Tribolium castaneum: one gene and its partner. The protein of the gene in region 1 interacts with the protein of each later gene in a pairwise test. Links are inferred from orthologs where the notes say so. Each region holds a gene or a part of one and is shown on either strand. Other genes may lie near its edges.

Region 1 (6,786 bases):
AGAACGCGGTTTCATTGGTGGTTGTTTCAGCCGATCAACGATACTCAAAGCGGACGTCCTCAATATCGTCAGAAAAACCGAAATCGTAGTCTTTCCGAAACACATTCGGCTGAACCGGGAACATCACGTGATGACAGCACTATTGGGCGACGCTCCTCTGGAAGTAACGTCGCTCATAGGTAAGCTGATTTGGGTGTCGAGAGTCGGGCAGCCATGTTGTGTAATTTCGGCCAGATTAGATTGTTGCTTACTTACCTCACCAGTGATCTATGCAGGCTGAAATGGCGCCGGGATATCCTATATTATATGCTGATACATATTGTTAATAATAGGGAAAGGTTTTGCCAAGGATTTGCTTATAATAATATTGATAGAACGCTGCCAATAGAATGAATAGTGCAGCCTGAGTTAACATCGTTTGATTTTTTGAGGCAACGTTGTGCCAAAAATTGTTGTTTTTTAATCAGTCAAGTTCAGAACGACGCGATTCTGTTTAACTCGCCATTCAATGTATAGATTGTTTAGTCTGCGGTCCGTTACGAAGATTATAAGCCTTATTTATCCTCTTGTCTTATGAATAAATGCGCTGTTATTAATTTATTATTTAAGAAGAGCACCTCAGCCAAAGTTGATTGATTATAGGGGCTCTCCGGAAATGCATTTATTTTAGTTGAGTGATTTTTTAGTTTTTTGTTTGTTGTTAGGGGAACTAGGCTGTTAGTTTGGTGTTAGGTTTCATTGGTGCACTACTGTAACGAATCAAATGGGAGAATCGCCAAATGTGTGTACATTCTCAGTTTTCAGATCGTTTTAAAACTTAATTAATTTTTTAATTCATAGTTGTATGTAATATTGTATTGGAACATTGTTTTTTTTTTTCATTAAATTTTCTTAAACTTTATTCTTTTTTATTTACTAGTAACAAAGCGACACAGTAAAATAAAGTGATTTGAATCGGGAATTCTTGCTAAACCTTGAACTTTCCCTGTTATTTGACGTTTTATTTATATGAACTGTTGGGGTGCATGGAGTTATAAGAGTTCCAGGGGCAACAGTATTTGTTGCGGGCGCGCGTGGGGAGTGATATGATGTATATTTTATTCTAGGCTTGATTTTGCTCACGCTCAGCCTGGAACTAGTGCTCCAGCTGGCACAGGTTTTAGATACGCGGGACGGGCTCGTACTCAGTCTTTTGGATCTGGCCGTACCAAAAGTAACCGAAATACCGGTGAATCTTGGCGACAGAAAGAGCCAGATGGTAGGTTGGGTGGGTTTGAGTGACTTTTGGCCTGAATTGAACTTTGTTACAGGCAAATTTGAAAATTCCACAAACGCTGCTTAAGTTCCAACAAGTGTTCTAGTTAAGTGATCAAGGTAATTTTTCGTACGTTGCTCGGTCTTTTCTTTTGTAAATTTTAAGTGTAGGTTATAATGTTTTAAATTATAGTTATAATTATTATAAAACTATCAAGCACTGATGTTTGTATAAAAATGAATAACTGATGTATAAAAGTGTAAGTAGATTTGCGCAAGTGCCATTGCCTTAAAATAACTGACAGTTTCATATTTTTCTAGTAATTACAAGATGAAGCTATGCAACGCAATATTTTTTAAATGTCAGTGGAGACCGTATCGGTTCTATTATTATATAACGTGAATGATTTAGTCATAAAGTTTTGTGTGAGTTTGATGGTTACATTAATCAGTTGTATTGTAATGACTGCGCTATACTTTGTACATACATATGGGCTCACTCCACAATACTTTCATATATAAAATCTAAAAAATAGGCTGTTTCGTTTTCGCTTTAGTGTGTACCAATATATTAAGCATTATGTAGCTGGGCTACACGTATAACTGCTTAGCTGAGATTTCTTAAGGTTGGTTCATTAGAAAACAATACAATCAATGTACGTTTAGTTGAGCTAAGAATGTTTGCACTTTTCATTGAAAATGGCAATCATACGATGGTAAATTTTACTTATTTACTTAAGGTATGCATTTCCCCAAAAAAATTTAGTTGTAATGTTGTTTCAAGACTATAGATAAACGCCACTCGCCAACTCGTTGTTCTAATACCATTTAATGACACAACCACCGTTTCTTTTGTTATTATATTATTGTTTTTTTTTTGCGCGTAGCCTCGATCTAAAGTAGGGACTACTCTTTACGTTGTTACATTGCCGGATTTTCTTTCACTCCTCCCGTAGTAGGGACTACTTTTTACTTTGTTACGTTGCCGGATTTTCTTTCACTCCGCCCGTAGTAGGGACTACTTTTTACTTTGTTACGTTGCCGGATTTTCATTCACTTCTCCCGTAGTAGGGACTACTTTTTACTTTGTTACGTTGCCGGATTTTCTTTCACTCCTCTCGTTTGATCTAGCTTGAGGATATTTATAAGTTGTGTTAGGACCCCTTGACAACTGGTTTAGGGGCAAGACTAGACAAAGGTGTTGTTACTTGAAACTCTGTTTTTATTAATACGACTAAATCCCATTTGTTTTATATTGTTAACAGTTTTAGGTGTCAACTACTCTTGATATATTTTTATAATGACCTTCCCTTTGGTATGTTTATGAAAATGTAAATCATAGGACAGGCAAGGAGTTCTTTTGTATGTGTTTTCGTAATATTGTATTTAGAGTACTAATTCATCATTTTAAGATAGTTGAAAATCTGCTTTTCCGTCTCGCCTGCAACCAACCACGTGCAATCGACAATTGATTGCAGGCGAGACGAAAAAACACATAAATCTTGTGATAATTAAACGTTTTTTTTGCTCAACTCCTTGCAATTTATTACATAGTTAAGTTAGTTTGTAAAGTGTGTTGTGGAAGTGTGGTCAAAGATTTGTCTTCCTGTAACACGTAAAAAAAATTAAAAAAAATTACAAAACTAGCTCGTCTTTTATTTCGAATCTCCCGGTTAAGGCGGCCCTCAACACCAGTTCCTTCAAGAGATGGCAGGGCAAGCACCTGTCATATTACACCACTCAGATGACTTGATTTGTGTTGTTTCTGTTTTATCCCAGCTTAACATGCTTAGCAACAAATTCCCTTGGGAAAATAGTGTCATAATTATTTATTAAAAGTTCAAACCCAACCGTGTCAATATGGATTTTGATAGCCCCGACGTAATGAAGGATTTCCCAGGCTTGTACGCATCCGAATTAAATAAGCAGTGCAATAACGACAGCGACTGTAATAATAAATTAAGTGAACCACTAATTCCCGATTAAAACTCGTTTCTAGATAGTGACGAAAATGAGAAAGTCTTGAAAAAGGACATTCTCATCGGAAAACGCAAAGAGAAGAAGGATAAAGACAAAGGTTATGCCGCTTTAGAAGGCGAAAGTTCAGCTGATGAAAATTTCAAGTCGAGGTAATCACACCTGCAATCACTCAAACCCTCACTGGGATGTTTCAGAAGCCCGTCGAAAACAAAAAAAGCCAAACCGTTCAAATTCTCCACCAAAGCCAAAGAAAAACGGGACAAATCCCGCGAAAAAGAGAAAGATCTCGACAAGAAGAAAGACCGGGATAAGAAGAATGACAAGAAGCAGGACAAGGAGAAAGTCAAGAGTGAGAAAACGAAGAAACTCAAACAGTCAATTGACGAGACCGCTGACATCGGCGGTGAGAACTCTTACATAATGACAATAAAATTGGAATGAATTGTTCGTTCCAGATATTTTACCGATTTTCGGGGCTAGTTTAGACGTGGCTGTTGAGAGGAGCCGGTGCCATGACGGTGTAGACATTCCTTTACCCATTCGGGAATGTATAGACTATGTAGAAACCGTAGGTATGTCGTTCGAAGGCATATACAAAATCAGCGGAACAAAATCAAAAGTTCTCCAAATACGTAAAATGTACAATCAGAGGGGCAATATCAATTTAAATGACTACGACCCTCCAACCGTCACAAGTTTAGTAAAAACCTATTTAAGGTAACCTTTTCTTAGGTGTAACATGATGGGCAAAAACTCTTTGCAGAGATTTACCAGAACCACTTTTTACAAACGACCTTTTAATACGTTTCGAGGAAGCCGGAGCCATCCTTAATCTCAACACTCGCGAAAAACACTTAAAAATTTTAGTGGACCTTTTACCTCCCCACAACAAAACGCTCCTCGGCTGGCTCATCACCCATTTACACAACGTTTCTCTGAATGTGAGTGCCTTAACACCCCAGCCCCCATAGTATAGCGCGTTTCGCAGGAAAAATGCAACAAAATGAACAAACAAGCCATTTCCACAGCCCTCAACCACACCTTCCACTGCTCCTCGCGCCTCCTCCACGCCCTGCTCCACCACTGCCTCGCGCTCTTCCCCACAATCACAATCGCGCGCTACGTGCCCCCTCTCGAGTCCGGGGCCAAGCTCCCCGAGGAGCCCCCCGAGATCGAGACGGAGCTCAAGAAGCAGGAGTCGCTCCTCACCCAGATCCACAAGGAGATGAACGTCTGCTGCATCTCGAAGCAGCGCGAGGAGCTCCTCTGGGAGGTGCAGAGGATCATCACGCAGCTGAAGCGCAAGCTGAAAACGGCGAACCGCGACAAGGAAGCGGTCGAGAAGGTGGAAGCCCCCGAGCCCGAGGCGCAGCCCGAGGAGGCGGCCAGCGAGGAGGAGTCGGAGCTGGACGGCAGCGTCGCGCTGCTGAAGTTCAAGAACGAGGGGCTGCTGCTGCTCAGAGACTCGCTCCTGAAGGACATCCAGGCGGAGCGCGGCCAGATCGCCGTGCTGCGCTCGCAGATCACGGGGGAGGTGCCGCCCGTGGCGATGGTGCCCAACGAGGACCTGGACGAAGTCATGGACCTGTTCCTCAAGGAGAACCAAATTTTGCAAATCAAGAAGATCAACTTGGTCCGCCAGATCATCGAGGAGCAGGAGATGTGCATCGAGCTGAGAGCGCAGATTTTAGCCAAGTCGTAATGTGTCCAGTATTATTGTAACTGTATATAATAAATGTTCAAATTGACGCTGGGTTTAAATTTAGGTAGACTTGACATTGGAGTGGGCCTAAGGTTACGGTATGCAACTAGCAATGCGCCTGAACTAAGCCAACAGGCGGCGCTAGCACTACTTAAGTCGAGTATTTTTACATGTTTTTGTGCGTGTTGTTTTTATTTTTAGTGGGGAGTGAGTTCGTACTGTTTCATGTCCGATATTATTTTAGAATAGGAAGTGGTTGAAGGTGTTTAATTTTTTAATTGTTATTTGTTGGATTTTTACGACCGTCCCTTGTGATGTTTGCTGGCGTTTGGCAAAGTCAATAAATAAGATAAGGAGTTTCGTTAGTGTTTAGTGTGTATACATTGCTCATTTTATTATATTGTTATAAGTCACATTTTGAATCGAAGCCTCAAGGGACCATCTCGTGGTAAGTCTTCTGTGACCCAAAACCCCATTTATGACTCCCACGTCAATAACAATCATAATCAAGTTTGCTCAACTTTTGATTAAATTGTCGACTTTGTTTACACAGATGATTCCGTTTAACCCAGAAACTTCACCAACCCGGAATTTTAGCCCATTCGTCTTCGGCACCCTTTCTTTATCTTATTTATTGTACGAAATGTTTTTAAAAAGATTAGATTATAATAGTATGTAGGTAGTTTACTTTGTTCAGGTCTTCAAGGTTATAATAAGCAACCACGAAAACATTCTTGATTTGTTTAATTTTCGGATTTGAAGCCGTTCCAGTAGCCGAAGACGTCTGTAATTATTACAGTTTTATTTACAAACTAAAAACACCGACTTGGGCATCCAAGCATGAAATTGATACGATAATCCAGATTGAATCTTTTTCCAAAAGTGGAACAAGAGATTATGTCAGATATCGTACATTTAATTCGAATTGTTCTGCCTTAGGAGGCAAGAAAGTGAAAAAACGAGATTTTAAACTAATTAATGCATTTTCTAAATCACTTTCGTTTTATTGTGTTAATCTGCCCCTCATCCTTATCTAAGATTACGCACATGCACACTTATCAGTAATAATAATTCATTCCAAGCTCTTTAACGTGATTTATTTTATTATCTTTCTAATCTTTTCATCGCTTTCGAATCCGATTCTTTATCCTGATTCGCGCTCCAATGATTCTGGGTAATAAGATTTTTTGTCCTGCTGTGATTACATTTTTTGCTAATTATAGTCAAATCTGGAGAAATCGAAAATGGGGAGAATGTAAACATTTTTCCAGCGCACAATGCCTTTTTAACTGTAGCCGAAACAGTAACCAGTGAATGTAACGGTCAATGTTACACTTGCACTTTAATATTTATAAGTGTTACACAACTAGAAATCAAAAAATCAAGATCAGCTCTCAAGAATTCAGATAAACTGATTAGCGAGAAGTAATTTACGATTCGTTTTAAGTTGCAAAAATTTTCAAATTTGAGTAATGGCTTATGAATATTGATGCTAATCAGCGGTCGAAAACTGGTCCAATTAATGCACCGAAAGTAAAATGAGTTAAATGCCTTCCAAATAAGTACGGTGCGGTCGAGCCGCGGTCTATTTTCCAATTTCCGTTCGATTATTTGAGTCGAGACAAAGCAGCTTTCTAATTTTTTTCTCGATTTGATTGTCTATCAAGGCTGTTGAATTCGCAAGTTTGAGATGAATATGACGTCATCGGGTACAATAACACTGGTAGAGTCGTAGGATGGAAATTATAGTTTGTTGAAAAATACCAAAGAAACACTTCGTTCCAATTTACGGATCGGAGGAAATGTAGAAAGTAGCTAAGTAGTTCATTTATACGATTAGATAACTTCGG
Region 2 (6,503 bases), on another chromosome or scaffold:
GTATGTTTGAGGGTAAAAATTTTGGTGATTTTCGTCGTGTCCCGAACTGAGAGGTGTGTTTTTTCGCAGACAATGCAATCCCAATAAAATCGTGGTTCTCAGATCCCACCGACGTGGCGTTGCTCAATCTGCTTCCGGTTTTGGACGCATTGAGGTTCACAGCGGACGTCCGATCCGTCTTGTCGCGGAATCTCCACTTGCACCGGCTTTGGTAGAGGAGGTGAGTGGTGTCTCGTTCCATCCATATTCAGGCATCTTACTTTCAGCCGTCCTAATCGAACCGATATCCCCGTTAACAGCAGTTTCACTAAAATTCATCGAATCGAAACTCCTAGTAAAATCGTTGATCAAGTCGAAAATTGTATCGATAATATCGTGACACAAGTCCAAGAATTCGATTCAACCAAAGACAGTAAAAAATTCAAGTCGCGCATTCCGCAGCGAATGTGCAACTGAATTTTGGAAATTGTGTTGTGATTTTCGTTTTTTGTAGATTGAACGAAATTATTTGTAGCAAATAAACCGTTACGAGACATTGTTTTTCTGTTCTTTAACGCTCGATTCGAATGATTTTATTTGTTTTATTTTTGTTTGTGCGGGGACAGCTGATAACAGTATTTGAATGCAGGTTTCTCGTGCTCAAACTGGACAATAGTGGTGTCTGTCACCCACACTTATCTTCCACACTCCTACCAACACCGGAAGTAACCACCCAAACAGAACTGTTATTACTTTTAATTGTTTCGTTTGAATTCAGTTATTTATTTTATTGTTTGTGTAGTCTATTGAGTTCTATCATTCCATGATTAGCGGAATTATTATTTAGACCAAAGACCCCGAAATTGTTTGGCTTATTGTACAGCATTTTGTTCAGCTCATTGTACATAAATAGCGTAAGTTTTCCAAGACTCTGATCTTATTTTCTGCATCAGAAAATAATTATACGAAACAATAATTTTGTGTTCAAAATTATTGGGACTAGATTAGATAATAATGTATATAGGTAGTTCAGCTTGGCTAAAATTAGGCAAAGCTTCGATTTTTGGCACCAATTATTGTCATATCATAAACTCGGTGCCTGAGTTGAACACCACATTTCGTGGCCAATTTTTATTTACAGTTGAACTGTACTTAAGCGCCCTCACGCGGCCAATTTTTTTAAGTAAGCTTTGCCAACTCCGTTGGGAGCTTGCCAACAGTTTTGGTTTGTAAATAATTGTAAATTGTGACGCTGTCTTAATGTTATTGTTGAAACTACTAGATAAGGTGCTACTTCACACTTTTGTGAATAGTCAAATAGGGTGTGCTGTCTTTAGAAAAAATTGTTTTTTTTTGCCTGGTAGGTTGTACTTACGGCAAGTTTTGGAATAGTTAATTGTTAGTTTCTAGGTACAAATCCTAACCTTTGTAAATACATGTTTTAGCGTTTAAACTGTACAGTAACTCTATACAAACTTGGAACAAAGTACCTAATAAATGACCTTTTACAGTGAAATAAAACTATTTAAGTAGAATCCAGAGTTTTATTGCTGCCATAAGGCAGAGTTAAAAATATTTTCTCACCACAAAAAAATTACCCTTCTTTTCTAATCCTATGTCAGCTAACTGCAAAACCTAATAACCAAGTGTTTCCTACTTTAAATGGCCTCGTTTTTGGAAGATTAATCTTTATCGTCGTCGTCATCATCGTCAACATCTTTGGATTTGTGTCTTCTAAAATCACTATCTTTGGATGAGAAAGATCTGCAATAAAATCAATAAAACCCGTCCGGAAAAAATCAAACCACTTGCATTATATCTAGACTAGAATCACTATTTTTTGCTGCATGTTCATGTTCCGAAGACCCTGATCCTGACCCAACTTCCATCAGTTCCTCGGCTTTTCTCTCAGGGTCTGAGTCGGGGTCGGAGTCCTGACTTATGCTAGTCTTCTGCCACGCAGGTATCGACGGACGGACTACTGAGCTTTTGGAAACCGGCGGAAATTGATTCCGGCTCAGGAGCAGGCCTTTGACTGTCGCAATTTCAGATTTCAAGTCTGATAATTGCCGCTGCGTGCTGCTCTCAGCCCCTTGACTAATTTTATCTACTTCTACTTTGACACTAAGTAAATTGTTTTTTAAGTCATTCACAGATTGCTTAAAACTCTTGTCTAATTCATCTATCGACTCCTCTACACTTTTCTTCTTTTTCCCGAAGAAAAACGGCGCTATAAATTTCTGCAAAAAATGGTATAGCGGCTTTTAACCACGGGAAACACGCACCATGTAAAATTTGTACACGACGTACGCTACGAAACTAAAAATGGCCACATTATGTACAACTTCTTTAACCTTATCAAATAAACTAATTTGGACCGTTGCACTGTTTGGGTACGGAATTAGGGAACTTGGGGGCAGAGGCGGCGTCCGATTTCTTTGTTCGTGGTATTTGTAAGCCCCCGATTTCTCGCACGCCTGTCTGATCTCCTCATCGGTTAAACCCTTCCGTTTCAAAAACCTTTGTTGTTCTCCTAGCGATGTTTTGAGCACGTTGGGGTTCTCCAGGAATTTTATAGCCGTGTTCACCTACAGTTAGCAATCGATAAATGGGGCAATTTAACCTAAACAACTTACCAAATCTTCCCGAACTGGGGGAGTCTCAGGGCGATTTTCCTCAAGTGAGGACAGTTGATCAGACATGGTTTTACACTAACCTAATTACTTAAAATTGATACATGGAAGTGATAACGCGAGTTCGGAAGACACCACACTTGTTTTTCTGCAAACTTTTAATTTTCAATCTCAAATTCCAAGGTTAAACAAAAACAAATGTCATTGGGACGCTGTCAAATCAAATTCCTGGAGACAAAGCGAAAGTCACTATTTAAATTTAGTCAAAAGACGACTTTTTTTCAAAAAAAAATTGCGATTTTATTGTAGAAACCTTTAAGCATTAGTCAATAATATTAGATAATTGCGATAATAATAATTTTTGTGTTTTTGCTAACATGGAAGCGTTATCGAGCGCATTATGAAACCAAACACTCTTTGGATTATCGCAGTGACAAGTTGTCAGTGGGTGTATGATGGCCAAGTAAAATAAAAACCGTTCGGCTTTAACTAATAATTCCGTTAAATCACAAAAGTGTGTGCGTAAAAAGCCTCTAATGACTTCACAATTCGGTAAATAACCAGTTTTCCCTCAAACTGTCCAATTTTTGGCCGATTTCAGTCGGCGTGAATAAAACTGCATTTGTAGTGATTACACCTGGTTTTAGGTCATTAGGCGAGAGCTGAGCCGGCAGAATGATCGGGGGGTTGTTCGTGTACAACCACAAGGGCGAAGTCCTCATTTCCCGAGTTTACAGGGATGATATCGGCAGAAATGCGGTCGATGCGTTTCGGGTTAATGTTATACATGCCCGACAACAAGTCCGCTCTCCGGTCACAAACATAGCACGAACGTCCTTTTTCCACATTAAGGTACATTTTGGTTTTGAAAATTGGACAAAAACTGGTGCGATTTCAACTTTTTCACAACCTTTTTGTTGCTTGTTTTGCGAATTTTGCACAAAATTGTATCAAATGAGTCTAGTCTCGGTCGAAATTGTGTTTTTTGATTTCCAGAGGGCTAATATTTGGATTGCCGCCGTAACAAAGCAAAATGTCAACGCCGCCATGGTTTTTGAGTTCTTGTTGAAGATTATCGAAGTCATGCAGTCGTATTTTGGGAAAATCTCTGAAGAGAATATTAAAAATAATTTCGTTCTTATTTATGAATTACTAGACGGTAAAATCGTTCAGTTGCATTGATTTGGTCATTACATGAAAATTGTAGAAATCCTGGACTTTGGTTACCCTCAAAACACCGATACCGGCGTTTTGAAAACGTTCATAACCCAACAAGGGATCAAATCGGCCACTAAGGAAGAACAAGCTCAGATTACGTCACAGGTTACTGGTCAGATTGGTTGGAGGCGTGAGGGTATCAAGTATCGTCGAAACGAGTTGTTTTTGGATGTTTTGGAATATGTTAACCTACTTATGTCGCCTCAAGGTTTTATAATTTTTTTTCCTGAATTTGTTTTCATAAAAAACTTTAGGCCAGGTTCTTTCGGCCCACGTGGCCGGTAAAGTCGTGATGAAGTCGTATTTGTCGGGAATGCCCGAATGCAAGTTCGGGATTAACGACAAGATTGTGATGGAAGCCAAAGGCAAAGGGGGCTTAGGGTCGACGTCTGATTCCGATCAGACCCGGTCTGGCAAACCAGTCGTTGTAATTGACGATTGCCAGTTCCACCAATGCGTGAAATTAAGTAAATTCGAAACCGAACATTCCATTAGCTTTATTCCACCTGACGGTGAATTCGAATTGATGAGATATCGTACAACTAAAGACATATCGTTGCCATTTCGGGTAATTCCCCTCGTGCGTGAAGTCGGTCGCACCAAAATGGAGGTCAAGGTGGTGCTGAAAAGCAACTTCAAGCCGTCGCTTCTTGGGCAAAAAATCGAAGTTAAAATTCCAACTCCGTTGAACACTTCGGGAGTTCAATTGATTTGTTTGAAAGGAAAGGCGAAATACAAAGCATCGGAAAATGCGATTGTTTGGAAGTAAGTTAGTGACAATCGATTGATTCACTTATTTGTATTCTGTTTTTCCCCAAGGATCAAACGTATGGCTGGAATGAAGGAGACGCAATTATCGGCCGAAATCGAGCTTCTGGAGACCGACACGAAGAAGAAGTGGACAAGACCGCCGATTTCTATGAATTTCGAAGTACCGTTCGCACCGTCCGGTTTTAAAGTACGATACTTGAAGGTTTTCGAGCCGAAATTGAATTACTCGGATCATGATGTTATTAAATGGGTGCGGTATATCGGAAGGAGCGGACTTTACGAAACTCGATGCTAAATTTTGAGGAACAACATTTTATTTCAATTATGTTTATTTTGTGTTATCTAATTTAGTAGTTAGTTGCTTTTTTTATCGATGGTTTACATCATGTCGGATCGAATATTATTTCTTGCTCTCAAATACTCAAGGCAAGCTTGATGTTGGAATAGAAGTGTTATGCAAAAGTATGCTCTCAATAATTTTATGTGAAACAATTTCACTGTGTTATCTGTAGATGAGGTATAACCATGTATATTTGTGAAGTGTAATGTTACATAAGCTTGGAAATAAATTGTAGCGAATAAGTTGGTGTCTCATTTGTCGCAAAACCAAAAAAAATCGGATTAGAACATACCTTGTGTTTACATTCGACGAAGTTGATTTTTTTTGTTTCATTATTTATTCTTATTAGAAGATGAGGTAAGTAGGTAAAAACGAATCACGAATACTTGACTGAGAAAAAACAATCACTGATAATCAGGACTCTTGGGCTCCCAATTAATTATTATGCAGTTTGGAAATTAAGTAAAGAATAAATTCATTAACTCCAGCATTTGCGCTAGAAATAAAAAGCGTGTGGTAGCGTTAACTGTCACGCATACGAGGAACGAATACTTATTTTGTTTGAGTTATACTCAAACTCAAAGTTAAAAAATGGAAAGCATGCGGTGACCGGAACTTCTGGCAGTCCCTCTTTCAACCGTCTTTCTAGAATCACCAGGTTGGTTCCAAGTACCTAATCCACTTTGTATTCAAATTCCCCGCACAGTTCTCCAACATTCAATACTCGTTAAACTGGTTGCCTGTGTATATTATGTTTAATTTGTTGTCTATATTAGCTTTTGAATTTTATAACGAGATGCATACCATCACCAATGACTAAATTTCGTGAATAAAATGTTTTGGGACGAAATCTTGGCGTTTTCTTTTCCTAAACACAGTCAGGGGCGTATTTAGGTATAGGCAAAATAGGCTGGCGCCTAAAGCAAACGCGGATTTTATTTTAAATGTTAATTTGTGAATAAAATTTAATTAATAAAAGTACGGAAGTAAAACCTAAAAAAAACCTACTTTTTTTTTGTTTTGATTAAGCAACTCACAGGATGGCTGACGAATATGTTGTGGTATTAAATTTTAAGCAGGTTGCGGCTCCGATAGTAGCAGAATAACCCAAACAAAACGATGAAGTTGAAAAAAGAGCGTCATCAAAATTTTTTGAAAGGGATTTTGTTACGTTTGAAATTCAGTTGTTCACAAATACTTGATGGCAAATATGCTTTGTTCGTCGCGAACAAAAATAATTAATAACGTTTCACTTATGAGGGGTAGCAGAAAAAATTAAGTGGTGCGCGGAATAAAAAACAAGCTAAAGAAAGACTTGAAAAACTATACGAAGTAGTTAATAAAATATTTAAAATTGAAGACAACTTTAAACTTTTTCCGGGTGTTCTTCAAAAACTGTCGAATGTGAAAAAATTTTCACACTAAGCAAAGTATTTAAATAATTGAGTGTTAATGATTAGAGATGATTAATATTGAATTAATTGTAACTGAAGACTCAAAAAATATTATGGTGAGTGTAAGCTGTAATCCTACAGAATTGATAAATTTTGAAATATTTATGT

Evidence for each region.
Region 2: the proteins of Rlip (region 1) and AP-2mu interact in a two-hybrid assay, tested with the Drosophila melanogaster proteins (2 studies listed by BioGRID). The link is inferred for Tribolium castaneum from reciprocal best matches to the Drosophila melanogaster genes Rlip and AP-2mu.

What each region holds. Positions count from the first base shown.
Region 1 is NC_087403.1:3,534,986-3,541,771, reverse strand, and holds Rlip (ralA-binding protein 1), read left to right. Parts: upstream 1-2,972; 5' UTR 2,973-3,114; coding exon 3,115-3,202; intron 3,203-3,253; coding exon 3,254-3,383; intron 3,384-3,428; coding exon 3,429-3,637; intron 3,638-3,689; coding exon 3,690-3,951; intron 3,952-3,997; coding exon 3,998-4,175; intron 4,176-4,222; coding exon 4,223-4,936; 3' UTR 4,937-4,982; downstream 4,983-6,786. Other genes in the region: larp (la-related protein 1), read left to right, coding at 31-179, 1,107-1,258, 1,311-1,342. UniProt on the Drosophila melanogaster protein: Participates in receptor endocytosis during interphase, is also involved in mitotic processes when endocytosis is switched off.
Region 2 is NC_087395.1:22,140,317-22,146,819, reverse strand, and holds AP-2mu (AP-2 complex subunit mu), read left to right. Parts: upstream 1-3,064; 5' UTR 3,065-3,164; intron 3,165-3,259; 5' UTR 3,260-3,287; coding exon 3,288-3,464; intron 3,465-3,608; coding exon 3,609-3,771; intron 3,772-3,819; coding exon 3,820-4,038; intron 4,039-4,084; coding exon 4,085-4,595; intron 4,596-4,649; coding exon 4,650-4,896; 3' UTR 4,897-5,120; downstream 5,121-6,503. Other genes in the region: Dd (CTD nuclear envelope phosphatase 1 homolog), read left to right, coding at 70-211, 267-456; peroxisomal membrane protein PEX14, read right to left, coding at 1,662-1,743, 1,792-2,219, 2,265-2,567, 2,616-2,681.